Linked DNA regions of Arabidopsis thaliana. The protein of the gene in region 3 purifies or fractionates together with the protein of the main gene of each other region. This does not show direct contact. Each region holds a gene or a part of one and is shown on either strand. Other genes may lie near its edges.

Region 1 (6,826 bases), on a different chromosome or scaffold from region 3:
AAATAAAGTTGAGAAATAGACTCACTTGGAACACCGACATCTCATTATCAAAGTAGTTCTGTGCATTTGTGATAGGAACACTGCAACTCTCTGCACATCGACTAATCTCAGCGTGTGTTCTTGTCCTATCAAAGCACTCGTATGCACATTTGAAATATGCCTTCTGCATCAACACAAAAGCACAAAAATAACTAACTCTTATATAAATCTCAAACTACGCAGTAAGCAAACTAAGTCCAAGTACATATCCAATGGCTTCTTCGAAGAGTATACACAGAGAACATAACTTTAGGAATTTAGCAACTAGGAGAAAGAAAACTGAGTCTAGGGAGCTGTGAAAAATCCACTTTGTTTCTTCAATTTTAGAAAGAAGACATCAAAATTTTCAAAAACTTTTTTTTTTGTTTGAGAGAGAGAGAGAGAAAGAGACGAACTTGAAGGGTGAAATTGATGTGGTCTTGTACTGGAGAAAGAAGAGACTGCGACGCAGAACTGACTTCGTTAACTTTCTTTCTAATCCTCTCTCTCACCATCTTCTCCTCCGCCGTTTGATCCATTTTTTCCCGGCGAGTTGATTTATTAGTTCAACTTTGCTCTCACAATGATTCACTCGAAAAAGTTTGGAATCTTTACTTGCAAAAAAATTAGACAAAAAAAGACTGAAAAAGAGAACATTTTTTTACTCCTTCCCCAAGTTCTCATAGGTAGCTTCAACCGCCTCCCATCTCTGAAACACTACCTTATTTGGGCCTAGCCTCTTTTAAATTGGGCCCATTTACGAACATTATCATCTCCTTTAGTCTGGCTCAAGCATGAAGTTACCTCAACAGCCGTCTCTGTTTCTTCTTTCAAAATCTATCAACTTCTCACTTTTTTTTTGTCAAGGGTTTCATTATTATTGACTTTACATTAATTTATAGAGATAAGCATTAAGCATGATCGTCAAACATTGACCAATTAGTTAAATGTAAACTGACATTGAAGATATTCAATTATTCATCATGATCATCCATCAAAATTGCTAAAAAGCCACATGAGTTGTTTGTCGAGAAACAGGGGAAAAAACAGAGAGACAAAACAAAACTAACCTGAACTTAAACAAAACTCCACAGAGAAGAGGAAGACTGAGTACAGACCATACTTAAACTGTTTTAACTACTACAAGTGTGCTAACGGACCAAAGACCAAACATATAGTGACTGGGAAAAACAAAGCTACTAAATCACTGCATCTCAACTTTGTAACTAGACCCACCAACATTATCAGAAAACCATAGTAATCTACACCAATTTTAAGAGCAGACAGATGAAATGAGGAACCGGGAGGATAGGTTTTTGTTTTTGTCTTTGTCCTTTTAGAGCTGCACTTCTCTGTCGTGTATCCAACTGAAAGGAATCTTGGGTCCTTTCTTGGCTCTTGCTTGAGCTCTCTCATCCAATCTCTTGATCCTTGGAGCCAACCCGCATAAATAGTCTTGTGCTTTGTTTCCTTCACCTGAAAGCCCGGTTAAGTCCTGGATTTTCCACCTACCAACCAGAAACTCAAGAATGTCTGCATAGTCTTTGGCGGTGTAAACACCGAGCCTCTGAGCCACGGAAGAGAAGTTGTCAAAGAGGTTGTCGTTGCGCCCATCATACATCAAGTGAGCAGGCATTGAGATTTTCTTTCTCATCATGTCTGCAAAAGCCATGACAGTACCATCAGGATCAATCTCAAAGAGCTTTTCAACTATCTTGGTGTATGCTGTTTCATGACGCTTCTCGTCTGCAGCTATTGTGCCACATATTTGGGCTAGTTTGATGTCCCCGTGCTCTTTGGCTTGGCGGGCTGTGTTTCCGTGAGAGATGAATGTCGCTCTTTCTTGGAATGACGTATAGATGAAGCCAAGGTAGGGGTTATTCTCTGTCCGCGGATCCTATGAAAGATAAGTTAAAGCGATTAGGTAGTTATATTAACCAAGAAATCATGATAATTGCCTGAAACTATCTCACCATTCCAGATCCAATCAAGTACTGAATGGTCTTTTCGATCTGCCTCATGTCAACACGACCAGACAAGTAAAGGTATTTATTCAGAAGATCGCCATGTCGGTTTTCTTCTGCAGTCCAAGCTCTGGTCCAAATAGCCCATGAAGTAGGACTAGCACCTGTTTCATCCCTAACTCCATCCAAAGTGTTCAACATAGTTTGATAGGTCGGAAGTGCTTCTTCTGTGATCATGTCCCCCACCAAAACAACAAAGTAATCATCAGGGAGCTCTCTAGCCCTCTCTCTTAACTCTCTTACCTGATCTTCAAACCCATCTGATGCAGGGTCAGGCAAGAAATCCTGGGGTTGCCAAGACTTCTCCACATCCTTGAGGTGAATCAGAAGGTTCTCCTCGGCCCAGTTTTCCATAGATTTGAAGATCTCGATCTTTTGAGGTGGCATGGAGTGCAAGACTTGAACATGCACTTCCCTGGGTGGCGTAAATGGTTTCTTCAAACTCTCAACCTCCCTGCATTAACCAGAAAATAAGTATCATTAGCATTTAATTATGCTCCATTGAAATTACCAGTCAAGGTCTCATCTCTGATACACAACTGAAACAAGAACACAGTTTATTGTATTTAGATAAGCATTCATGTCTACATTTCCAAATCAACTAATTCTATGTTTGAAGCGAAACAATTTCACAATTCATGACTAGCAAACACTTAGAGATGGTTAACCGTAAGACAATATTTTATATTTGCATTCATGGATTGGTCTTGCAGTTCAATATGAAGCAAAAAAGAAAGATTGTGAAAGAAACAAATGTAGTGACTACTGATCAGACAAAGACAAGATAAAGAGCCAAATGTCTTCAAAACAGAGAAAGAATGAATAATAAATTACAGAAAAGTGTGAAAATTTTGGACGCAAACTAAAGAGAGAAGCCACGAAGTACGCATGCATAGAGAAAGGCCACGAAGCGTGATATCCAACGTAATGTCTTTGAAGAAAGATAAACAGACGTAAACTGATACGTTCAAGAATCTCTTGTCAATACAAAAGAGAAAACTCATCAAATGAGTAAGAAACAAGTGGATAAACATTTCACCATTAAAAATTACTAAACCAGAGAAAACAAAACAAAACTTTCTCTTTGACTAAGAAGCTTTCCTCAATGTCTGTTAAGTCTTAACCAATCTAAAGATCATTATACCATAAAGAAGATAACTAGTGTTAATCTTAACTAACAACCAATCAACGAGCAATCTACATAATCTGATGCAGAATAAATATGGTAAAGGCAACGATTTGATAGATGGGGCAATCTCAGAGAAACGTGAGAATAATAGGGAACAATCAACAAACATCAGATTCAATGAAAAAGAGCATTAATGAATCACCTGAGAACAGAGGATGGCCCATTCTTATAAACCCAGATTAAAAGAACGTACTTTTATTGAAATCACACTCGAGATTAAGCAAATGTAAGCAAATAACACTGAACAAAATCGAGAAAACGTAGATCCAATATCGATAAGAACAAGCAAAACCCAGAACACAGTAAACAAAGATGAAACAGAGAGAATCGAAAGTAGATAAGAGAGACGATGATGGAGAGAAAGAGACTGACTTGGGGCCGGAGCTGAGAGCCGGAGAAGAAGAAGCGAGGCAGAGGAACTTGGGAGATCTGAAAGAAGGAGTTGGCGGACGAGTCGAGGAAGGGAATTTGTAAGGCTGAGATGCCACCAAAGGGTTAAACTTTAGAGCCATTTCTGGATATGATGAATGAATCCTTCTTTTCTACAGAGCTAGAGCTCTCCCTCAATCTCTATCTCTCGGTCTGAGTTTGGTTCTTCTGGCTTTTTCTCTCAGGTTTAGTTTCGTCCACAGAAAGAGAATGCTTATGCACAGCGTTGAGCGTAGCAAGCAATAAGAGAGACGAAAATAAATAATTCTTTTTTTTGTTAAAAAAATTATTCTAATAAGGAAAATGACGTCATATTGTCATTTGTGTGTGAAAAACAAGGTGACAAATTATAAAAATAAATAAATTGGGTATCTGTTCTAAAATACCCTTGAGATGCTTCAATTTTGACACTATTGTTCTTACATATGTCGGTAAAATATTTGTATCAAATAATTATTAGTCAACAATAATGATCAATGATACATCAAAACATCGAGTAGCTAAGTAGCAGTATACTAAATATTAATATAGTTGAGAAAAAGTTGCAAGAAAAAAAAGGGATACATCTTGAAAAGAATTGTTGATTAAAAATTCTTTTATTGAGTTGAATAGTAAAGTTGAAAAAATTGATTACTTTTGAGCACCTATGTCAAAGATGATTATGATTCATGCTTAGTCTCTTTCACTCATGACTTGTGCTAATTGTTAGATGACTCTCCTATATGTGTGATAATTTGGTATTAGATCTATGAAAATTGATGAGCAATGAGAAGGGGTAAAAAGGTCAAAACAAAATATAAAGTGTTTATATTAATTTATGTGAGTTTTGTAATAATCGACGTACTCGGGCGTGAGAATCCACGTAAAAGCCAAATAAGTTTGAAGCATGAAAGAGACAGAGAGGGGACAAGTGGCATAGGATCTCCACGTGGATGTCCCACTTGGCATATGAAAACTCTATAAACCGTACATTGGGTTTAATGGTTTTTTGCATTTTAGCATCATTCGATACTTTTCTGCCAAGTTTAGCTAGCTCAACGTTTTGAGTAATTTGATAGCACAACGTTTTCGGTTTTTCATTGAGACCATGACAACAAATTTAAACTTATTCTTTGTTTTCGTTCCATCACATTTAAGTGTAAACATTAATGCTTGTTTAACATCTCTTTCGGTGATTAACATTAATCAATGGAGTATATACTTCGATTAACATCTCTTTCAGTCATAAATCATAAGTGTGTGTAAACATCCCCATTGGTGTTCACCATACGTTTGTGTAAACATTAGATCTCTTAAAAATATCCAATTTATCCAATAAGTTAGCACACAGAAGAAATATGTAGACTTTTCATAGCTGAAAAACACAACAAGTACTACAACATAAAAGTAAACACAAACGCATACTTTTCAGGTCATGTGTAATTATTCCACCGCCGATATAAGTATAAACAGAAATCAAAACGATACATTCAATACAATCACCAAAATAAAGATATTTATCAAGCAAACACCGTCACATTTTTAGATTTCTCACCAAACCTCGACCATCACTTTTTACCGTCCGACGGAAGTCATCGCTTCCGTGATGGTCAAGTGTCCTTTCTGACTCCTTTGTCATCAATCGAAAACATAAAATATTTACAAACAAACATGTCATATATCATTTCACGACCGAACTCAGCATCACGTCTCAGCGTCCCCGGGAGGTAAAAGGTTCCGTTAACGTCAAGGTACCAATGGACCCTTGTGATGTCAAAACACCAAGTACACTCTCAGATGTCTCAGACCACATTCTGACCTTCTCTGCTTTGACTATATCGAGTAGATTATCTGGAAGCTGCAGATCACCACCCAAGATCTGGACCACCTTAGACATGTCTGGCCTAATTGCTACAGCCTGGTGCGAACACAACACTCCCAATTTCAAAACAAGCTCGAGCTGTTCTCTATTGTCTTCGTGACGGATTCCATCATTGACTGCCTCGAGAATATCTCCGTTTTCCCAGCACTTTAATGTCCATTCAGCTAGGACGACCTCGTCGGAGGCTGTTCTTCGCTCTATCAGCCTCCTACCGCAAGAGACTTCTAGCATAAACAGCCCGAAGGCATAGACGTCTGTCCCTGTGGTTGCTCTTCCGCTTCTTATGAGCTCCGGTGCAATGTACCAGAATGTCCCAGCAACTCTAGATGTCTGAGGATCATAACCCTGATCGTACAACTTAGCCAACCCAAAATCCCCGAGCCTTGCATTCATTTGGTGGTCAATCAGGACATTTGCCGGCTTGATGTCTCGATGAATTACAACTTGTACCCATTCATGATGCAAATAGCAGAGTGCAGAGGCTATGTCTTTGATGATCTTGAAACGTTGATTCCAAGTGAGTTGCTCTTGATTCGCTCTGTGGTAGAGGTACTTGTCAAGACTTCCATTGGGCATAAAGTCATAAACCAAGTAGAGTTCCTCCTTGTACCTACAATAACCCTGAAGCCTGACTAGGTTCTGGTGTCTAAGCCGACCAATTGTCGATATCTCAGCCAAGAATTCCTGCATTCCTTGTTTTGAATCATGTGAAATTCGTTTAACGGCAATCTCTGCATCAGAACCTGGAAGTGTACCCTTAAAGACCTGACCAAACCCTCCTTTGCCTAGAAGTTGTTTGAAACCTTTTGTGGCTTTAAAGAGTTCTTTGTAAGCAAACCTATGAGGCCCACATTGGATCTCCCATTCCTCTAGAACCTCTTTAACCTTTTTATGTCTCCTGTAGAAAAAGATACTTAAAGCTGATGCAACAAGCGCAACAAAGAGAACCAATGCCAAGCTGGTCACCAAAACAATCCGATAAACCAGAGATTTTTCCTTGGGATATGGAGGAAATGTTGGTATTCCCAAGTCCAGGTTTGGAACATCAACGCCGCCATGTACAAACCAACTCAACATGTAATGCATTGCTCTAACAGACCCCGTTGAGGCTGAGAAGCCCACATACATGTTCTCCAAAATATAGGGTGATAGATCTTGGTTCAATGAAAGAAGAGGCTTGTTCGGGTAATAAGCCTCCTCTGGTGATGATAAGGTGACATTAAGCTGTTTTTCCATCTGGCTATACAAAATCGTGACTCGGAGTAGACTTCCACTTATCAAAGAAAGATCTTTAAATTGACCTTC
Region 2 (7,115 bases), on a different chromosome or scaffold from region 3:
TCTCTTATGAGCACGACGAGTTTTATCCAGCTGACGATTTCAAAAACTCCGACGAGATTCAAGAATTCGAAGAGAGGTTTCGAGCTTGTTCCGAGCAGATGCAAGACATCGAATGTCCCAAGGTCCATGAAGGCACCCAGGTCTGCGCCACGTTTCCTTCCGTCACCGAAGAAGTCAAGTTCTACGACGCTATCGTCGTTACGGTGAGTTCTAGAAATTAATCCCGGTTTAGTGTTTGAAATCTCAACTCCGGTTTGAGTAATACGGTTTTTGTGTATATAGGTGGAGAGGACGAAGCATGAACGAGACGAGGAAGGGAACGAAATTTGTGGATGTGATTTCAAACTTTTCTGGAAACAAGGTCCTTGGATTAACCAAGTGACTACTGCGAAAGTTGGAGATATTTGTCTCAGAGCAAAGGATAATCGAATAAATCCAAAAGTGGTTTCGTTCTTGAAAGAAGCTAGAAGGAAGCTTCATGGAGAAACATGTAATCAAGGTAATTTATTACACTTATCTTTCTTTTGTCTTATGATTAAAAACTTACTATGTAACGGATTAGTGTATATGTGTGAAACAGGGGAAGAGACAGAGTGGCAAAAGATTCTTGAGAAGGTGAATTCTGCTATTCAAAACAACTTAAGCGTTGATGGATGATTATGTTATGTTGCTTAGTGTGTTGCAAAAAAAAAACTGAATACTCTAGTTTGGGGAAGTCTCTTAGTTCATGCCTATCACTCCTTGTTTTTTTTTTTCTTGTTGTTGAAGTCCTTGGTCTGAAATATATATGCTTGATTTAATTGTGTTGATGAACATCACATAAGGTTTTGTAAACAGAGGCATAATTGATAATTACATTTGCAAACTCTAAAGTTCACAATCATAGTCCATCAAATACTTAGGAGCCGAACATCAAAAATGAGAAATTCCAATTCTAAAAACATTAAGATATCAGAAACCAGAGGCCCGCCGTAGAGATTGCCATTGCGACGGAGAATAATGGTGACGTATGGTGGATCATCAATGTTACAAAAATAAAAAAATAAAAACGGGTCAAAAGGTCAGAAATAACAGTAAAAAAGAACTTGCAGAACAAGAAATAGGTCAAAGTCTTTCTGACGGTACAAAAATGACAAATTCGTCACGGTGATGATGGTGACGTAACTGTACCTGAGAGTAGAGAGACCTTGATTAGAGACTAGTGAGAGAGACTTTCCACAAATGAATCATTGAATACTAACTAATGAAGAAGAAACTATAATCACTTTATTTACACCAAAAAAAAGGGGTATTATTTACATTATTCAATTGAACGGATTCACGAGTCGGGGTTGTCGTTGCTATAAAATCTGGCTTAAAGTTGATTGGCCCCTTTTTGGGTTCAAGTCCATCTACTATGTAAACAGCATTTGTATGATTCCAATTTTTGGTTTTTAAGCAAGTGTAAAATAGGCCAACAAAAGCTATCTGGAAGAGGAAATCTGGGAAACAAATGCTATGGTCTTATCACTTGAAACACAAATCCATTTTTCAAAAAGATTCAAGTGTTAAAAAGGAAAGAAACAATCTTTTGCAGCTACAACACCATTCAGAAACCCCTCATCAGAGATTCTATGAATTCAGGGCAGTTTTATTGAACATTAATCAGTTCGACATCAAAAGTCAGCCAAGAATTAGGAGGAATCTGGCCACCAGCACCCTTCACACCATACCTGGGAGCCAAACAATATTATCATCCCATTAAAAAGGTTTAACAAAACATTGCTAATTCAAAATAACATAAATCAAAATGAGTTTACTTACCCCATTGATGGAGGAATTGTAAGCTTCCTTTTGTCACCAACGCGCATGCCTGTGGAATTCAAAAACTTGAGATGAATACAACACGATTCACTTTTTGAACAAAGTTATAAGTAAAAAAACAGTAAGAAATTAAGATATATACCATTAACTCCAACATCCCATCCCTTAATGACTGATCCAATACCTACACGTTACAATAAGAACATAAAGTATCACTTACACCAGCAATACACTGTAATTCTCAACCAATTTCCCAAGCTATTATCTTTGAATCTAGTTATAATACCAACCTAGACGAAACTTAAATGGTGATTTTCCAATGTTGGAATCGAAAATCTTCCCATTCTTCTGAAGTTTTCCAATATAGCGCACAGAAACCTGCACTCAGAGACAATAGAATGAGCTCCAAAAAGATTTGGGAAAACACACAAATACATTGATGCACTCTAATAGGATTTTGGATTCAAACCAAGTTCACAAAGACAATTAGCCAGAGTTAACCACAACTTAAGGGTTTGAGTGTTTGTAGGTTTTACAAGCCATTAGTTTGTTCACTTCCTATTTAATGTATATTCTTTGGTGCTCTTAGGTCTAAGTCTAACAAGGTATTACTTTGCTCACTTTCTATCTAGTGTCAATTCTTTCAACACCCACATTCTTATCACACTACCACCTTGTTGCATAATCTATATGAGATTGCAGTAACCATATGATATTATGTGTGCAATTTATGACTTTAAGTGTGCATACCGTTTTTCCAGGATCAGCTCTCTTGCCGTTGGGTTTTCCCATGCTCAACTCTTCAACAATGAGCCCATTTGGGTATGTCCGTACTTGAGAAGACTTGGAGTCCGCTGGGGTTTGCTTCTCAACAGTACCAGAAATTTCTGCAGCTTCGTCACTTGGTTTCTTCTTTTTCTTATTTTTAGTTTTCTTCTCAGCAGATTTATCTGGGGTCTTGGAGCTTTCACTCCTGCAATAATACCATAAAAAAGCACAGACTTTTGTTAGGAGAAAAAGTTTGAAAGAACCGCTGTATACTCATAAGCGTTTTTTACTTTGTGATCTATGTGAGTAATAATTCAAATACTTACTTACTGATATTTCACAAATGACATAAACACAATCTGTTATCACCAAAAAAGTTCTCAAATCAAGAAATAAGAGTTCTCACATGGCATTGTTTGCAGTTCCATCTTGAGCTTTTGTGTTTGAAGAAATTTGGCTAATATCCTGCTTCTTCAGAACATTTCCCGTCTGAACTTGTCCAGCTTCCTCATTTAAGACATTTTCCCCTTTCTTCTTCTCTTTCTGATTTTTCTTCTTTTTACTCTTGTTTGCACTGGAACAGATTTTAGAAACAACTTCGTATCCCCACGATATATAAAATATGTGAACTCTGTCCTCAGAGTCAATAGAGAGCAAAGAGAGTAGTACCTTTCTTGTCCATCATCTTGCTCAGCAGCCTTGGCCTTCCGTTTCTTGTTACTACCTTGTTCGTCATTATCTACAACCATCTTCTCACCTGACGCATTCTCTACTTCAGATGATTTTCCTTTAGGAATAGGTAAACCGTCTTCGTCTTCATCTTCGCTTTCCAAAACTGGAACATGGGCACCCTCTATGGCAACGATTTGTTTCTTTGCATTCTCACCTTCGCTAGCTTGACTCTTCTTCTTGGTTTGTTTTGCCTTATTATCTTTGGCAGGTTTCTCTTCATCTTCTATCTCCTCAATTATAACTAGCAAAGATATCATTCAGATTAGTTTTAACAGAACAAGGAAAGATCAATCATATAAACTATTAACACAAATGTAGAACAGGATCAGCACCAAGGAGACACACTTGTACAAAAGCTTAAATTTACGGACATACATTTGAAAAGTCTTTTATCAATATCTTTTTGAAACCTTCTAGTTATAAGACAAGAGTGACGAATCAAGCAATCACACTAAGCTAAAATGGAAGTACTAAGATGCAATCTGATAAGGATCTCTGTAAGAAAAAGTACCTCCACTCTTTGGGGCAGCAGCATTCCGATACCTTTCAAGATTGCTATCAAGGAAGTCTTCAAATTCATCCAATTGCTCATCCTCTTCACTATCATATTCACACGAATCGTCTTCCTCAGACTCACCAACATCAATACCATCTCTATAATATAGTCGCAATGAAAACATTAAGATTTCTAAACAGATGGAATAATAGAAAAACAAGAAAGCATTATTTGCTAAAGTAAACTAGTAACAATGAAAGGATACGAATCATCTTCATCATGCTCATAATCATCTTCATCGTCCTGATAATACTCCAAGAATCCAGACAAGTGGATACTTCTGTCACCAGTCACGGTGAATTCCACTGGCTCATCATCATCGTCAAACTCAAGATTCAGAGGGCAACATTCGATTTTGTTTGGCAACAATGAACACAAAGCAATAGGAGCCTTGTCTCCTATTGAACACTGAATCACACTCTTTTCTTTGCTCAAACCCGTACCTAGAGTTGCCTGAATGATGGCAAAACATACATACATCAATAGATATATCAAACATATTCAGATTCCAAAACTAGACTACACAAATATACAATTCATATCCCAAATCAGCTCGAAGGAACAAGAGTATAGTACCTGGGTCACGTGAATCTTTCCTTGTTCATTTTTTGGATTATAAGCTTGAGGCTTCCCAGGTTTCACTTCAAGTCCTGCATATGTTAACAACACAAAATCAGAACCTAGGAATCATGCTCCGGGAAAATCAAAGAAAACACTGAGCAGAGAAAACTAACCCCAGAATCCCATTTTCTCAGCTAGGTTACTCCTTGGAATCGAAGCGGCAACTTTGTTTCTACAGACTAAAACCCTAATCGAAGGTTTTTAGCAGACGAGCTTTATATCGAGATTAAAGCGGTTTCGAGAAATTTCGACAATTTGTGCAACCGCGCTCTCAGTTTGGGCCTTAACAGACTTTGAAATTCAATGAAGCCCCAATGAAGCCCCAATGAAGCCCATATATTGGTCTGTCATAAATCGTAAAGTAAATGGTATTGTCAAGATACTCTTCATATTTGATAACATTTAATTTGTGTTCATTATTTTACTAGAGTTAATTTGAAAAAAAAATCTATAATTTTCTCTCATGTAAACGCAAATTCAGAAATTTTGTTTTAAATAAAACAATATGAGACCTATCTTTCAACAAAACAATACAATATTGAGACCTAAACACACTGTACAATGACGTGAGTTTCTATCTTTCTTGTCAAAATCTGAAGTAAGTGTACAAAGTAATGTCTTTTTGTTGTATGTAACCAAGTTAGTTAAGTGTTTGTATCTCTTGTTACCAAGGAACGAAGAGATTTCCACTTGATTTCTCCATAATTCTACCATCGCTTAGGTCTGACCCTGAGAGTGAGCCAGCCTCGAGTTGGCTCTCTGAAGAATACAGCGGAGAGGCAAAGCTCGATCGTTACAGTTGTATACCGGAACAGCGGTGAAAAGTTTAGTTGTTGTTTAGGTAATTTTGTGAAACCAAGTATTTTCTTGTTAAGCTAATTGTTATGATGATCTCCATCTTCTTCGTAGTTGAACGGTAACGGGACAGTTTTGAACGCCCTGTATCTCCCAACGTTGTTCAAATGCTCATTCTCCAGCCTAATCAACAATTACATTTCATTAGTTTTGTGTAGATTCATGCATGAAAACACCATCTTCTCAGTCTCGGAGCTTACCTAAAGAAGTTCCAGATACCTCTGCGTATGATCTCAAGGCAAGCCATAAGCGCGACCATAGTTTCTCTATGCAAGAAAGAGAATTTCAGATCCAAAACTGTTTGCAACCACACTAACCTCAACAAAACATTCAGGACCTGCCAAGTACATGAAGCAACAATCTTCACCATATATGTATAAAGAAAAAACAAAAACAGAGGTTATTGCTGTTTTCTGTTTGCTCTCACCATTGCAGCGTAGTACACGGTTTTGTGAGGAACAAGAAGCTTGTCTCTCAAGAAACTATTCTTACATCCTCTTTGAAGCAATCCCCAGTCAAGAACAATGTCCCAGTAAGTTCCGTAAAACGTTGCAACTCCTGAGAAAACCCAAGCTGTGATATTCCAGTTGCTTCCTCGGTTTAGAGTATAAGCTGTTCTAAGAGAAGCAGCAACGATGGTCAAAAGGTATTTGATGCCATTGTAGCCATGACTCAGATCTCTGTCTTCCACCATTCTTCGGATGCACTGAAGAAACCGTAACCAGTAAGGTATAACGGCGACGATGAAGTAGAATGTTCTGAATCCAATATTTGATGTGCAGGTGTTTCGTCGTCTATATCTGAAATCTCCAAAACCATAGTAGCATATGTAGAACTCTAGACTCCTCAGTGCTTGAACCTAGCATTGATTGTTTAAATCAGAAATCATCGATCAAAATAAGTATGAAGCTATCTTATCGAGTATAGATTTTCTCGAACCTGGCTTGTTAGTTGATCTCCCAAGAAAAAGTCCGGAAGATGCACCTGCAAAAATGGAAGACATTCTTCTTAACATTTCTGTTTATGCTTCAGATGAATGGAGAGGAGGATATGTTGTTGGTACCGCGTAAAATGGTGCAGCAATGCAGCGGAACAGAACCGAGAGGAAGAAGAATCGGCTTGACCGATACAAAATGTTAAAGGGGCAGAGAACAATGATAATCACTAACTGCAATATGCAGAGAAACGAGTCTTACTAAAAACAAAGATTGAGTTGTGTAAAATGTACTGAGAAATAGAGAGAGATAGAAGGAACTTACTACGAGAAGAAAGAGGGGGATAAGTTCGGTGACTAATCTGTAATCTTTTGTTTGAGCATCCATTTCCATGTCAAGGTTTAATAAGACAGCACATAAAGAAAGTGTACCAAGACCAAAGCTGAGAAGTAGAACATGTCTATAACCAAGTTCAGTGCCTTGTTTGAATCCAAAGATGAAGGAGTAATTCACACGGTATCGCCTCCAGAAGTAGATATTAGCAGCGTACACGTCCATGTGCAAAACTACAAACCCAAAAAACCTGCAAATGAAATGTATATATCTCAAGAATATTACACAGAGACAGAGATAGTGTGTTTGGTTTATATTTGGTCGTTTTACTGACCTGTAAAGAGGGAACATTGTTTCCATATAAGTTCTTTGTCCCGGTGTACCCATGATATTACGAGCATGGATGATCAAACCCAGAGCTACAATGAGAGAAATACCACAGCCGAAAAAGAAGCCTAAAACAAAACAAAAAACAGAACAAAATGATGAATTACTCTTGAAAATACATGTCA
Region 3 (7,210 bases):
AATGCGTGGCCTTGATCGATGGATAGCTGAAGCAATCAGATCAGAGTCATTAGATCACAATGGTCAAATCATCTGCGGTGGGTTGTTTCTCGAAGAATCTCTTCCTTCCTCGTCTGTCTCTTTTCTTTCGTCGAAGGATTGTTCCGTCAATTCGTGTCGCTTCAGTCAAAAGTCGAGTTTTTTGAAGTTTAGGAGACGAAACGGGACCAGGGAACCTCTGTTTCTGTCTGTTAGTTTATCGATTAACGAGAGTAATGGTGAGGAAGAAGAAGGTGAAGGGTATAATGGTCAAAACGGCTTTAAATCGGAGAAAGGTTCGGTGTTGATCGGTGGTGGTCAAGAATCTAAGGAGAAGCGTAGGGTTAAGGAAAATGGAGCAGGAGCTCTCAACACAACCAAGCATTTATGGGCTGGAGCTTTTGCAGCCATGGTTTCAAGGTCTCTCCTTCTTCTTTACTTATTCTACGAAACTCTTGAGGTCAAATGAGATTGAGTGTCAGTATAAAGTTGTAGACTTTAAGTGTTGGGGTTACTTACTGATATGCTTATTTGAGATTTTGTATTGATTTGGTTTGTTGTAGTTTGGTGGCTCATTGGGTTTTGGTTTGAGCAGAACTTGCATTGCACCTCTTGAACGGATGAAGCTAGAATACATTGTTCGCGGAGAGCAAGGGAATCTTCTTGAACTCATTCAGAGGATTGCAACAAATGAAGGGATTAGAGGATTTTGGAAAGGGAATTTGGTTAATATTCTCAGAACTGCTCCCTTTAAGTCCATCAACTTCTATGCATATGATACATATAGAGGTCAGCTTCTGAAATTGTCCGGGAATGAAGAAACGACAAATTTCGAGAGGTTTGTTGCTGGTGCAGCTGCCGGAGTAACAGCTAGTTTGCTTTGTCTACCACTTGATACTGTAAGTGGAATCACAACAAAAACTTCATTGAGCTTCTTTTACCATTCTCTGGAGGTTCTTTAGCATTACTTTGGTTTTGAATTGCAGATAAGAACGGTTATGGTGGCACCCGGTGGAGAAGCATTAGGTGGTGTAGTTGGTGCATTCCGTCACATGATTCAAACTGAAGGTTTCTTTTCCCTATACAAAGGTCTTGTACCTTCACTTGTTAGTATGGCTCCATCGGGAGCTGTGTTCTACGGTGTCTATGATATTTTAAAATCAGCTTACCTTCATACACCGGAAGGTAAGAAACGGCTTGAACACATGAAGCAAGAAGGTGAAGAACTTAATGCTTTCGATCAACTCGAGCTTGGTCCCATGAGAACTTTGTTATATGGAGCAATCGCAGGGGCTTGCTCAGAAGCAGCAACATATCCGTTTGAAGTTGTGAGAAGGCGTTTACAAATGCAGTCACATGCTAAAAGGTTAAGCGCAGTGGCTACTTGTGTGAAGATCATTGAACAAGGAGGTGTTCCTGCTCTATATGCTGGCTTGATTCCCAGCTTATTGCAGGTTTGATTCCTTAATACTAGTCATAAATTAATCTCTTGAACCAGCTTATTGCAGGTTTTACAGCTTTGTGAATTATCTCACTATTGCAGGTTTTGCCTTCCGCGGCAATCAGTTACTTTGTTTACGAGTTCATGAAAGTTGTTCTGAAAGTAGAATCATCCGCATAAGACAATAAGCAATGAGAAATGACACAATTACTGCTGGAGCTGCTTCAGAGGAGAGTTTTTTCGTTTTCTTTTTGGGGTTTACACTGATTCGTGTAGTTTTTCCACACTTCATCGAAAACAGATAAGAGGTTGTGAAACGTTTTTTTGCAAGAAATAATAAGATTTGGGTAAAAATCCAATTTGGTTTCCTGTGTTCTGATATATAAACCTTGATTTAAACATACAACAATCACAGAATGTTTGGAAGAATGCCATTAAGACAAGAAATCAAATGAAAATAGATTCTCTTTCGCGAAGATAAGTCTTCATATCTAAAATCACAACTGCCTTAAAGACATCAAGCCAAGACCACACCATACGAGTCTCTTTGAGTTCTCTTTACGGTTGCCATCCATATTGTTGGTTTCTAGCACCACCCATAGGGTTCTGACCTCTTCCAGAGCCACCAGATCCACCATACTGACCACCACCTTGTGAGTAGTTGGGTGGTCCAACACCATAGCCACCGCTAGGTCCTCTAGGACCGGCGCCATATGGTGCACCACGACCTTGTGGAGGATATGCTCCGCTGCTGTAACCTCCACGGCTCTGATTATTATAACCACCAGTCTGGTTTCCGCTAGGAGGGTACCGGTTTGGAACAGGTGCACCACCACGGGGCTTTCCTCCATAGTAATGGCCACCAGCAGGTATTTGGGGTGGTGGTGCGTTGTTGTTCATAGGGTGGTTTGGTCCAGCAGGCCAAAGTGGAGCGGCATGAGACTGGCCAACACCGTGTTGCTGTGGAGGTAAACGAGAATGTTGCTGCTGTGGATGCTGCAGTTTCTGTTTTTTGGCTGCTTCCTCATTATGACGCATCTGTTGCCGTTTTTTCTTTGTCTGGAACTCATGTGATGATTCATATGTCGGTAGACTGTTGACATAACACAGTTTCAGTACAAGCTGAATCACTCACTAATTGTTCTTGATCGTCATTTGTGATGTATGATGAACCAAATGGGTTTTCATAACAAGAAAGTTAAGAGAATTTGATTACCTCTTTGGATCACATGGCAGCGGATCAGTCCAAAAGTACTCAGCATCAAGAGCATCCTTTGCGCATATTCTCTGTACCAACAGACAGGAAAATGAAAGGACTTAAATGTCTAGACCAAGGCTCTTAATTCTCTGTATTAAAAATTCTTTGGTACCTGAGATGGGTCAAGTACCAACATTTTCTCAAGTAGTTCAAGGGCATGGCGATCAAAGCTATAGCAGAAGAGAAAAGGACCAAATGAGATCTCCTGGATCAAAGTAACTGTTGCATAAAAGAGTCGCAACTACATAATGGTTTATACTTACTGTCTGTAGATCTCCCTTACGCGTCTCTTTAAGGGCCGAGATGATTTCATTTGGTTATACCAAGGCATCTTGGAAACTCCAGGCCAGTTGCTTTCATCAGGTGATCCACAAAGCTCATAAATCTTATTCAATTGTTCATTCTGGAAAGAAAAAAATATGACTAAAACGCTAAGTGGAAACATCATCAAAGAACACTGTAATAACACACACCACGATAATCATAAGATGAAATCCTGACCTCAGTTTTCCCAGGCAAGATTGGTTTTCCATTCAAAAGTTCAGCAAATATGCATCCAACTGACCACATGTCAATCGCTGGTCCATATTTAGTTGCACCAAGTAACAATTCAGGGGGCCTACAGCAATAAACAATGCATAAGTAGAGAAAAAGCTGCACGTATAAGCAATACTTATTCTTTGTCACTTTTTTGTATATAACTTCAAAGTTTGTAGGCATACATACCTATACCACAAAGTGATGACACGATTTGTGAGGTTTCCAGTATGATCATGAGAATATGACCGAGCAAGCCCAAAATCCGCTAGCTTTAAATTTCCCTCATTGTCAATAAGTAGATTCGAACCTGCACCAATATATTATAGGTTAACTAGCAAATAAAGACAAGAGAACAAAATGGTCAACAATGTATTTTGGGATATATTCACCTTTTATATCACGGTGAAGCACTTGATTCACATGACAATAGTGAAGCCCAGTCAGCAGTTGCTTCATGTAACACTTTTTTACATATGTTCAAATGTCAGACAAAGTCGGAACAATAAGGGTTTTTGCAAAGGCTACTACAACAAGGTGTCTAGCCATGCAATACCTTTATCTGAGGAACCGTAAATCTCAGTCCAGGACGATCAGCAAGTCCAGTCAAGTCATGATCCATGTACTCAAAGACCATGTAGATTCCACCCTTGTATTTGTTATTATCTAAAATTGAAGAAAAGCAACAAGCTTTAGGCCGTAAGCAGTTTAAATAGATCTCTCATAGTCGCATCTAAGTTGTACAGAAAATATTTCGATCTTGAATAAGTTTCACTAACCTGGCTTTCCTTGATCATCCCTATCTCGACCTTTTAAAGACAAAAACAGTCACAAAACTCTACATATCAAACTTAACACCCCTTTTGACAAAATTTCTAAAGCAATTACAAGCTAAGATAAGAGTTCCTTATTACCTGGAGAAGTAACAATCTCTTTCAAATGGATGACATTTTCATGATGCAGCTTCTTCAGAATTTTGATCTCCCGGATAGCGGTTATCGGAAACTCCATGCAAACAATGAAAACGGAAATATAAGTCATACGAAACTCACAAAAATTTGCAACTTGTCAAAGCTAGTACTGGTAGTTCAAATGTAGCTTACCCCTTCTCTTTCATTGTCCATACGGATCTTTTTCAGAGCCACGATTTCACCAGTTTTAATTTCTTTAGCCATGTACACTTGGCTGCAAAACCAAATTTTAATATATGAATCTAAACACCATCAAAAGAGACAGCTTCAGAAGTTTATTGCAACATATATATATATATATATATATATATATATATATATATATCTACCATACCAAGAATCTGAGAATTCCCAAATTCAATCAACAAAATCGAATTTATTGAGATAAGAGGCAAAGTTAAAATTCCTCAAATCAACAATATATGGATCAATAACTATATATAAACGTTTCACAATCAAAATTGTTTCAAAAAAACTTATATATCAAGTGGCCCTAGCGAAATCGTTCAAATTTGAGAAATTTCAGTCTTGAGCACGAGTACTCTGACAAAACCAAATAAATTGGAATCAAGGAACAAAACCCAGAAAAAAAAAGAATGGAGAAGAATACCCGTAAGTTCCTTCACCAATCTGTTCAAGCTTCTCGAAGCAATCGACACTACGAGATCCCCAAATCGGTGGAGGCTCCTCTAGATTTAACTGCCCAAAAGCCGCAGCCGCCATTATTCAACCGAATCTGAAAATTACCGAAGAATTCTGCAGCTTCGCCCTTGTCGCTCCTCTTCTCGCCTTCTTCTCTCCGGCTATTCTAAGGTTTTAGCCCTACCTTACAGTGTCGGCTTCGCGGAAAAACCTAAGCTTTTTTATCCGGAATCAATCTCTGGTTTAAACCGGTTATTACAACGAACCAAAATCAAACCGGTTAAATTCATGAGTCAAATTTTTAAGACGCTTTGACAATCTTGAGTTTTTGCTCAAGTGCTGAAATAGAAAAAGAATCGCTTCATATGAATCCCATTATTATATGAGAAGCTTCAAGCTCGTAATAAAGGGTGATTTAAGAGTTACTTCCAAATTATAATGTTCAACACAGTTACGGATGAGCGAAGTTTGGATACAATGACAAAATTTCAAGTTTGGACTTGTGAAATCTACAATTAGATCTTGATACGATCAAGTAGCGTTTCATCGACTAAACACACGCACTTGTAAGCAACCAGCAGTTCCTCAGCAATCTCATCTCCAAATCTCACAACATATTTCTCTAGAAAAGCTTCCTCAGTCATCTCAACAATGCCAACCATGTTCTTCTTCTTCTTCTCCTCTTTTAACAACAACCCTTTTTCCCTCAAGATCTGCAAAACTTTAAGCCTAGGAATCACCCTCTTCTCAAGATTATACGACAACACACAAGGACGTTTCGCCAAAGCTTCCCTCTCTAACCCCATTCTCTTCAAGTAAAACTCAAACCCCAGTGTAAGCTTATCTTCTGAGCACCGGATCAAACCTGGAGATCTTCGTATAATATCTGTTATCTCATCTTCAGAGAATCCATTAGCCATAAACAACTTAACCTTTCGATCAAACGTTTTCTCGCTCAAAGAACTTAACGAGATAACAGCGTGCACAAGCATCCTCGAGTTCAAAGTAAAACCAAGATCCAAAGCACGAGAGACATATCCTCTGAGTTTTTCCTCAGAGAGATTGAAGATTCTTGGCTGTCTTCTAAGTAAAGAAGCAAGCTGAGACCCAACAATTCCACAGGTTTCAAGGTATGAGATGTTTGGTAAGAGAAACAAGTTAGGGTCTCTACTGAGAAGAAGCCAACCACATCTACTAAGAATGACAGGAAGGTCTTCATGTTTTGGGGCAACAATCGATTTCAGAATCTCAACGGTAGGAATCAATTTCTTCACTAGACTTACACCAACGACTGATGAGTTTTGAGAGACGAACTTACCAAGACCAGAGCCAGTAAATCCAATATCTTTAAAGAATCGAAGTTTGGGTTCTAGAATTTTCTCCACGTTGTAGAACATCATTCGAGGATGGACCCGGATCGATTTCTGGATCTGGGTATCGGAAAAACTGTAACTTTTAAGCATTTGAATCACTGACCGAGGTTGTTCTAGGGATTTGAGGTTAGGGTAACGCATTGCGATGGCAATTGCTAGAGGTTTCTGGAACCCATTGTCCCTGAGAAACTCGACGAACGCTGGATTTGATATCGAAGCTGGTGTCGCATTCGAAGAGAAATGATGCAACGAGAGAGCTCGATCCCATCTCCGACCAAACTTTCTGGAATTGGAAACGAGAGAAGCTAGAAATTGCATCTTGGAAACGAAAGTTTAGGGTTTTACCAAAGCTTATTATTTTGTACAGTTAAGAATCATTCATGACTTTTCAACTATGGTTTCTATTTGATAAGATTAATTTATTTGAGATACAGTATTCAAAATATTACTAAAACAGAGATGAGTCTAGTGAGTAGCTGAGTACAATGAGTATATTTATACGAAAAAGTTCCTAATTTCTAAATCTCTCTATACACAAGCAATACATGTGGCTCATGACCACTCTGTTGATGAACAACCAGAGTCTCCTCTCCAAAAATTATTATCGAACTTTAAGAAGACAGAGATGAGAGAGTGGTGGTGGTTTGACTAGTTGACCATCTCTTGCCTCTCAAGCTTCCATAAGATAATTTTATTTGCAGACCAGTGAAATTGTTAACACTCCTGTGAAATGCACAAAAGGGTTTATGGAGATTGAAGAAGCTTTAATACATTTCTTCTGTACAAATTAAGCCAAAAAATGAGTGTGAGAATTTGAGTCTGATAATGTAACTTGTAAACATCAAGAGGTGATAAATCATGACATACCAAGCAAGTTCTTAAGCTGTTCCAGTGATTAGTTTTTCCCGTTGATCGAACTTCTTAACCTTTATGATTCCGATTAGAACTTGGAGGCTGAAGAAAGCACATA
Region 4 (8,023 bases), on a different chromosome or scaffold from region 3:
AGACATACACAAAGACTTGTACATTTTCAGCTTAACGACTAATACATTTTTCCTTTATATATATATCTCTATCGAGTCTAGTTATTAATGTTGAAAGTTGCAAATAAAACAGAAATGCTAACATGTAAATATCGTAGCCAAAAATGCTAACATGTGTATAACGGTTATAACCACAACTTGATGGCCGACCTCTTTTTTCTTTTGGTAACCATAGAAATGGTTACACGTAACTAGTACGAACCAACGAAAACTCTTCTTATTCGATAGTTAAAGATAATAGCAATGCGCAAAAATATCTAGCACTCACACGTGTAGTTTTGGATTCTCATTGGTCGAGAGATCTATAAAACGATACTATTGGAGGTTAGATTTTTCTCATCTCACTTTCTCCATCTTAAAACTCTTTCTTGTATTTATTTTCCTCCCAAAAAACATCTTTAAGAGTCCTCATGGCGATGTCTTTATCAGGAGCTGTTCTCAGTGGCATGGGTTCTTCTTTCCACAACGTAGGAGCAAAGCAGAGTGGTGTTGGTACCGTCAGAGTTGGCCGGAAGAGTGAGCTCGTCGTCGTTGCTCAGCGCAAGAAGTCGTTGATATACGCCGTTAAAAGTGACGGCAACATCCTCGATGACCTCAACGAAGCCACGTGAGTCTATATTCTTTTCTTTTAACAAATTTTCTCGTGACTAAGGCTATCTTCATGTGTACTCGCAAAAACTCTCATATACATTACGTACTCGCCATGATAGTTATTTTATTTTGGTTAATCCCATCATAACAGTTTTATACATACTATAATCAACTATAATGGCCTTGTTGAGGATTGAGTTTCCATGGTGTAGATATATGTTTTTAAAATCGTTTGTCAATAATGAATCTTAACATATATATATATATATATAGAAAGAAAGCTTCTGATTTCGTGACGGATAAGACGAAGGAGGCCTTGGCGGATGGCGAGAAAACAAAAGACTACATTGTTGAGAAAACCATTGAAGCCAATGAAACTGCGACTGAGGAAGCTAAGAAAGCTTTGGATTATGTGACTGAGAAAGGAAAAGAAGCCGGAAACAAGGCGGCTGAGTTCGTAGAGGGTAAAGCAGAAGAGGCTAAGAATGCCACAAAGTCCTGATTCAACCACTCATGTAGTCATGTTCAATAGTTTACAATAAGATCAGTTTGTTGTAATTTCTTTTTCACCATTTGAAATGAAGAGCTGTTAATTACTCACTAGCACATTTTAAATACGTATCAAATGATTTAAATATAAACTACATTTTAGTGACTACAAGTAACATAGTAGTATTTATGAGTTGGATTCGGGAAAAATCTGTCAAAATCTTCTCTCATTTTGATCCTCAATTATAAAGAAACTGTGAAACTGATGACTGTTTTTATGACAACCCCTAATAATAGCCTAAAAAGATCAAAACACCTAAAACATCAACAATTGTTATATATCCATCTCCTGAGTGAAATCTCATAGGTGTAAGGGGCAATACATACTCTCTTTGTGAATGTAGAAGAAATATTTTTTTTGTCAAAAGTTGTAACCAAAACAAAAAGAACATTGGAAGCTTAGTCCCAAGCACTTGGAGGTTCTCCACCATATCCACCACTTGAAGCACCACCATATCCACCACCATAGCCTCCTCCGCCGCCATAGCCTCCTCCACCACCATAGCCTCCTCCGCCGCCATACCCTCCTCCTCCACCGCCATAGCCTCCTCTACCGCTACCGAAAGACCCTTCCCTTCTAAAGTCACGGCCACCAAATCGACCACCAGACCGCCGGTTCTTACCACCACCAAAAGAGGACCGTGACGCATACCGAGTGAGCCACTCAGGGACTTCTTGGTTAGCTTCTTGCATCAGCTCAGCGAGCGGTCTGGCCAGTGAGGTGTTGCCATCGTTGAAGAAGGCAGTTGCTAGTCCTGATTTGCCAGCACGTCCTGTTCGTCCAATACGGTGGACATAGTCATCAATGTCATTTGGCAGATCGAAGTTGACCACATGAGCCACGTGGGGAATGTCAAGGCCACGTGCTGCTACATCAGTTGCAACCAAAATCGGTGTTCTCCCACTCTTGAAGGCTTTCAATGCCACTTCTCTTTCCTTCAATGCATATATAGCAACACAATAACTTAGTTCCTAACACTTATTGATAATGATGATCAAAGAGTGCATTTCAATAGTTTTTCCTTCAGATTTTGACTTATGTTTAAGCTTTAGTTCAATGAACTATATTTTAACACGAGATCTTCTCTTTGGTCTCAATAATGAATTTGTACGACTGGATTTTGATGTCCACATTAACATACAACATTTTCAGCTTTAAGTTGAATAACAAACCTGCTGTGTTCTGTCACCGTGAATGGAGGTTGCTGGAAACCCATTGATGCACAACCAATTTTCCAAAGAGTCAGCTCCTCTCTTTGTCTCCACAAAAACTAAGGTCAGGGCTTGCTGAAAATATGGAAAGAATACAATCATCAGAAAGTATGAAGGAGCATGTTGAAATATTGAGGCAAGACCAGCTACTTTGGTAATAAATCATGAACTAAACAATAGATGATTCCTTCCAAACAAAAGAGGAGTATCAGTTTGTACCTTGCCTTGGATGCCATTCTCTCTCTGAGCGTGAAGCAGGTCCATGAGATGACTTCTTTTGTCAGAGTCAAGGACAAACTCAACCCTTTGGACAATTAAATCGGTACTTGAACCCACTCTACCCACAGCCAAAAATATATAATTTGCTAGGAAGTCAGCTGCGAGTCTCTGCACATGAAACAATACAATCTTTTAAAATTTGCAAGTGATTATGCAGAAACATTCTATATTATGCAGCTTAATCAGGAAACAAAAGTATGAAACTTCATTAATCTAAAGCTTGCCATAATAGGTTCACCATCATCCATTAATGAAGTGGCATATAATCTTCTGACACATAGAACTATTAATACCATGTCAGTTAACTGGCATTGACCATCGTTTTATAAAAATGGATAAATTTACCCCTGCATAGCCTAGCTAGAATAATAGTAGGACTAAAAGTCATGTAATCAGCTTTACAACAAGAAAACCTCTCTCAGAAAAGATATAACCTCTGCAGAAACCATGCATATAGCTTTGTATATACTATTCACATACACTTTCAGTTTAAGTTGGACATTTCTTTTTCCCCCTCATTTTTTTCAGAGGACCAAATGGATATAACTGGACACAGAAGGTTGTTACGACAAAACCCCAACATAGAAAATGTAACAAGCAGATAATTTGCAAGGAAAAAGTATGGAACACAAGAATCAACACACATGGCAAAGAAACTTAAATAAAAATTCGGAGCAAGGCAGGGGTAGTAGTCAGAAAGTGAAGAAGTTCACTAAAAATGATATTTCAACCAATGAGAAGGTGAATAAAGAAAAAGTGATTTACAGACAAGTAACCAACCTGAATTTCTCTTGGAAATGTAGCACTAAACAACAGTGTCTGTCTAACTCCACGTGGAGGCATGTCCATTTGTTCGACAATCTTTCTAATTTGTGGTTCAAAACCCATGTCAAGCATTCTATCGGCCTCATCAAGAGCTAAAAATCTAATCATCTGCATTGAGACTCTAGCTCTCTCGAGCAAATCATTTAATCGACCAGGCGTTGCCACAAGAATATCGACTCCCCTCTCAAGTTCCCGGAGCTGCACAAACAACAAGACACAAGATCAACATGTTGACTTTTGAAAACAGATTAAGTAACACATAGATACAGCTACGACATATAGCAATGCTTCTGCATGTCATATATTGATAAATCCTTAATATAGAAAAATGCTGGCTCCAAACCAAAACATGCTTTTAACTAAGTTAAGCAGCCTTAGAAACGAACATGCTTAACCCAAAACAATCAGCCTAAGAGACGACACAAAACAGACAGCAGTGACAGACGCATGAAACAAAACTCAGAAATCAAAAGTTCAAACAAAAAAGTAGAAAAAAACAAACTATTTGCTCATTACATACCTGCTGGTTAATAGGTGTTCCTCCATATGCAACAACCACCTTCACACCAGTTTGGTAAGAGAACTTTTTAGCCTCATCATGTATCTGCCAAAAATCATTAGAACAAGATATGAGAAACTAACTAACTTCTACCAAAGCGAAGAATCTTGACATCAGAAGAGAACCCCAACCTGACTTGCCAACTCTCTTGTTGGTGAGAGAATAACTGCAAGAGGGTAGACTGTTCGTGAACCACGGGGTCTCTGTACATGCTGATCTTTCATTATTCCACTAATGATTGGAAAGCAAAAAGCAGCTGTCTTCCCCGACCCTGTCTGAGCACAGGCCATCAAATCCCTCCCTTCAAGCAATATCGGAATCGCATGACGCTGAACAGGTGTTGGCTTAACATATTTGCATCTACGGATATTTAGATTCAATGCCTCCCCGAGATCTATCTCTGCGAATGTGTTAACAGGAGGAGGCACATTATCCCCACTGGTCTCAATCGGAATATCTTCATAGGCATCAAAATTAATAACCGTATTATCCTGCTCAGTAAAAGCTGGTTCTGGTTCGGAATCATCATTTTCAAAGGGGTTTACTTCACGTTCCCTACGGTCCCACCCTCCGCTTCTGTTGTTCCAACCACCACCTCCTCGTCCACCATAGCCAGAGCCAGAGCCAGGACGACCTGCATCAGCCCTATAACCACCACCACCTCCAACACCAACACCACTACCACCAGGAGCCCATCGAGAGCCAGAAGGTGGACCACCATAACCTACACGATCATTAGCTGGCAATGGAGCAACAGGCTCAGAAGCTGCTGGCCTGTTCCTTAGATGTGGAGGAACATAAGCAGGTCGTGAAGGATGAGAATTCTGATTAGAAGACCCAGAACCCGTGTTCTCTGAGTCAGCTACATCAGCCCATGATGCACTCATAATCGAAAAGTATAACGTCGTAAAAAAAAAACTAGCTTGCAAATCCTTGGATATCAACAATCAAATTCTCAAAGCTCCTCCCTTTAGTTTATAATCTTCAATAGAATACAAAAACCTGGAAAGTTACAAGATGGGTTTCAGTTAGAACAATAGCACTCCACGGATATCAATAGCAAGCAGCTAGGAACATCTTTAAATAACGAAGCCCTATCAAAACCTCAAAAAACATCATAATCGAATCGACCGAATAACAAAAGTCCAGTCTTCGGAGAAGAGCATATAATCAAACGAAGAATATAACAAGACAAATGCCAACAGAATCACGCAAAGAGAAGAACAATGTTCACCTCAAAAAGGAATAACAAAAACAAAATTTGCAACAAAGAGTAGCAGATAACCCTAGCTACAGCTCTCGAAATCAATCAGCGTAAACCCAGAGATAGAAGAATCCTCAAAACACGTCCCAAAAAATCGAATCGAAGAAATCAACGGTAAACCCTAAAATTCCTTTGAATTACCTTTTGGTATCGGAGACAGAGCAAGATACAAATGCGCAGAGCGATAGAATCAATAGAGAGAAAAGAGAGGTCGAGAGATATTTTTTAATTATTTTGACTTTTTTGTTCTTCTCTTATCAAACCAGATTGCGTCCCGTTTTCATCAATCTTTCAACTTGCGTGTCGGTTTAGTTTTCTCGTTCTGGATTGTATGTCGGCGACTTATGTTGAACTCTCTTTCTTTTAGTTTTTAATGAATTTAAAATTTAAACTGTTGTAAACACACTTCTCCTCTCATTCCATTTGGCCAAAATATCTGCCTGCGATGGTGATGAGCATATTTGCCATAATGATAACTTGTTCATCTCCAAGACTCCAACCTCTAACGCACGAAGACTCGCACACTTTCTCACAAGAGCTCTGAGACAAGCACTAGTATCAGCATCCGGAGGAGTGTCCACTGATGCACATAATGCTACTACCCATTTGCAGTCGCTACTCTCTAAACCGCTCTCCTTTTCACCAAACATATCCGCTTTCTCAGCTTTGATACCCGTGTCACTGAGTCCATTCCTTGTATCTCTGAAACCATCCCACCAAATGACTCATCAATGTTTGTGTGGGGACGTTTACTGAATATCTCCATGAGTACATCTCCTAAAGACTCGTTGCCATTTTGTTTTAAAGCCTGTGAAAAACCCATAAAACTTAAAGTCATTACTTGTCCGTTAAGAGAAACACTGATAAGTATGCAAGTTGGAAGAAAGGAATACCAGACGAATGTGTGAGAAGTCGGAAAGCAACGAGTCCTCCCATTCCTTCACCGGTTGCAGGTGCTCTGGGAATTTGTGGCATGTAAACACTTTGCTCTTTCTCTCTGTACTTGCTTCCACTTACCTTGGCTACTTTTACATTTGGAATTCGCTTAGCCTCCCACCTTAAATGATGGAAACAACTTAACCATATATGCCTAAATGCAGATACACAGAAAGATTGAAACAGAGTGACATATATACCTGACTCGTCTTAAATATTCAATCCCGTCTTCTGGTGGTCCAGAATCGAAATCAGGTTCTCCATCCACAGCAAACGCAGGCCTCAAAATGCTATTGTAATCGTCATTATCTTCAGTTTTCTCCTCTTTTACAACATAGTCTTCTTCAAGTAGTTAAGTCATCAATTCCTTGCCTAAATGTTCTCATGAAGAAACAAAAAGTCACATTTTCTTGGAATCTCAGTTTTGATTTCTATTGAAGAAACCAATAAAAACAAAGAAAAGAACTAAGCCCATCAAAAAGATTTAGCTTTCAAAGGTATTGATTTTTATTGAAGATGTATGAACATGTACAACTTTTTAGCCGATAAAATCATGGCCATACACACTTTGAACCAAACAAACTCTCTAGACCCCTTTAAACAATCTGAACTAAAGAATCTATATACAGAAAGAATGTATTGTTTCTTAGAAAAGGAAAAATTGGTGAACACAGGATTTATGAAACACAGGCTTCGACAGATTTCTTCAGGTCAATGTACAAAGAGACGGGTTCGTCTTGGTACAGCCGATATGGGACCTGTGGAAAAGAAAACAAACGGCCCCTATCAAAAAGATACTTAGGAACAACCACTGCTGAAAGAGTCGCAGACACTAAGCCCGACTGGATTTGTCACTTTGAGATGACCATTAGAGAAGGAAATCACCATAAAACCGTAGCAAAGAAAAAGCCATTTGAGTGACACACACAAACAAAAATGCAGCAGATATAGCTTAAGGTTATACATGAGCTAAGTAATCTTAACTTGGAGTGACATATTTCTATTAGACCTAAAAGTTTCCTCAACATGTTCAACTAAAAACAGGCAACACCACAAAATGCAGCAGCTAAGATAAAAGTAAAGTAAGTGGAGGGTTACCGAGGATACTCTTGTGATTCTTCAAACCTTCGTACTCAGTCACCAGCTCAGGTAGGAGTCTAGCATACAAGTCACTCCACAGTTTCTTCTGATTCGCAATGTGGGCATACCTCATCGACTCCATTTGGTTCCTAGAGTACATTATCCGCAACTGCTTCCCATTCATTTCTCCACTGTTACGAAAGTCAGAAACTTTGGTTGACGCATTCCTTTCAACAATGCTAGAAGCATTTCCCTTATCAATCGGTTTCTCTACTCCAACTTTCTTATGCTTTCTTGGTGCATCCTTATCAGTGTGTGCAGTTACTGGTCTCTTAGAATGATCTTTACCTTTCTTGTAGAAAGGAACAACATCAAACAACGCAGTATCATCAACCAAATCAATATTCACAGATCTTCCAACAAATGCATTATCCTTAACTCTCACTCTTTCCACCTTCTCACGCTGATCTTTAGACCCATTTCCATTCTTTTCGATCTTATGGATATCAGAAGCCCTAGCGAGCGTGTCCCCATCATTCTTCTTCTCAGTCTCCCAAAGTATTTGAACATCAGAATCTTGTCCCTTCTTCTGAGAGTTCAAAATTTCTTTCATATCAGAGATAGAACCGACGCAATCATCCTCTATCTTGTACACATCATCTCCAAATTGATCACTTTCTGTAGAAATC

Evidence for each region.
Region 1: the proteins of CDKC2 (region 3) and SSI2 purify together in Arabidopsis thaliana (affinity purification with mass spectrometry, with the first as the bait; one large-scale study listed by BioGRID). This does not show direct contact.
Region 2: the proteins of CDKC2 (region 3) and FKBP53 fractionate together in Arabidopsis thaliana (co-fractionation; one large-scale study listed by BioGRID). This does not show direct contact.
Region 4: the proteins of CDKC2 (region 3) and AT2G42520 fractionate together in Arabidopsis thaliana (co-fractionation; one large-scale study listed by BioGRID). This does not show direct contact.

What each region holds. Positions count from the first base shown.
Region 1 is NC_003071.7:18,117,024-18,123,849, reverse strand, and holds SSI2 (Plant stearoyl-acyl-carrier-protein desaturase family protein), read right to left. Parts: upstream 3,978-6,826; 5' UTR 3,744-3,977; coding exon 3,604-3,743; coding exon of another isoform or gene 3,600-3,603; intron 2,497-3,599; coding exon 1,992-2,496; intron 1,916-1,991; coding exon 1,355-1,915; 3' UTR 961-1,354; downstream 1-960. Other genes in the region: AT2G43720 (FAM136A-like protein (DUF842)), read right to left, coding at 26-163, 435-557; AT2G43700 (Concanavalin A-like lectin protein kinase family protein), read right to left, coding at 5,351-6,826.
Region 2 is NC_003075.7:12,958,027-12,965,141, forward strand, and holds FKBP53 (FK506 BINDING PROTEIN 53), read right to left. Parts: upstream 4,746-7,115; 5' UTR 4,607-4,745; coding exon 4,594-4,606; intron 4,510-4,593; coding exon 4,436-4,509; intron 4,313-4,435; coding exon 4,065-4,312; intron 3,958-4,064; coding exon 3,815-3,957; intron 3,545-3,814; coding exon 3,241-3,544; intron 3,146-3,240; coding exon 2,978-3,145; intron 2,777-2,977; coding exon 2,554-2,776; intron 2,182-2,553; coding exon 2,094-2,181; intron 1,988-2,093; coding exon 1,946-1,987; intron 1,869-1,945; coding exon of another isoform or gene 1,853-1,868; coding exon 1,804-1,852; intron 1,713-1,803; coding exon 1,631-1,712; 3' UTR 1,323-1,630; downstream 1-1,322. Other genes in the region: AT4G25330 (SAWADEE protein), read left to right, coding at 1-203, 283-499, 581-657; SHB1 (EXS (ERD1/XPR1/SYG1) family protein), read right to left, coding at 5,356-5,458, 5,536-5,672, 5,763-6,194, 6,275-6,319, 6,399-6,503, 6,595-6,853, 6,938-7,058. UniProt on the Arabidopsis thaliana protein: PPIases accelerate the folding of proteins. It catalyzes the cis-trans isomerization of proline imidic peptide bonds in oligopeptides. Histone chaperone possibly involved in H3/H4 deposition to the nucleosome.
Region 3 is NC_003076.8:25,953,235-25,960,444, reverse strand, and holds CDKC2 (cyclin dependent kinase group C2), read right to left. Parts: upstream 5,072-7,210; 5' UTR 4,949-5,071; coding exon 4,836-4,948; intron 4,440-4,835; coding exon 4,358-4,439; exon of another isoform or gene 4,296-4,357; coding exon of another isoform or gene 4,260-4,295; coding exon 4,169-4,259; intron 4,064-4,168; coding exon 4,034-4,063; intron 3,921-4,033; coding exon 3,811-3,920; intron 3,720-3,810; coding exon 3,647-3,719; intron 3,565-3,646; coding exon 3,444-3,564; intron 3,337-3,443; coding exon 3,219-3,336; intron 3,121-3,218; coding exon 2,981-3,120; intron 2,888-2,980; coding exon 2,830-2,887; intron 2,747-2,829; coding exon 2,676-2,746; intron 2,553-2,675; coding exon 2,018-2,552; 3' UTR 1,640-2,017; coding exon of another isoform or gene 1,562-1,639; 3' UTR 1,554-1,561; intron 1,479-1,553; downstream 1-1,478. Other genes in the region: AT5G64970 (Mitochondrial substrate carrier family protein), read left to right, coding at 2-438, 614-917, 1,005-1,472, 1,562-1,639; AT5G64950 (Mitochondrial transcription termination factor family protein), read right to left, coding at 5,383-6,558; ATH13 (ABC2 homolog 13), read right to left, coding at 7,119-7,210.
Region 4 is NC_003071.7:17,702,300-17,710,322, reverse strand, and holds AT2G42520 (P-loop containing nucleoside triphosphate hydrolases superfamily protein), read right to left. Parts: upstream 5,583-8,023; 5' UTR 5,460-5,582; exon of another isoform or gene 5,289-5,459; intron 5,126-5,288; exon of another isoform or gene 5,057-5,125; 5' UTR 4,942-5,056; coding exon 4,186-4,941; intron 4,100-4,185; coding exon 4,016-4,099; intron 3,694-4,015; coding exon 3,451-3,693; intron 2,779-3,450; coding exon 2,611-2,778; intron 2,467-2,610; coding exon 2,353-2,466; intron 2,116-2,352; coding exon 1,579-2,115; 3' UTR 1,263-1,578; downstream 1-1,262. Other genes in the region: COR15B (cold regulated 15b), read left to right, coding at 450-646, 904-1,132; AT2G42510 (survival motor neuron interacting protein), read right to left, coding at 5,705-6,020, 6,160-6,375, 6,455-6,596, 6,983-7,012, 7,380-8,023.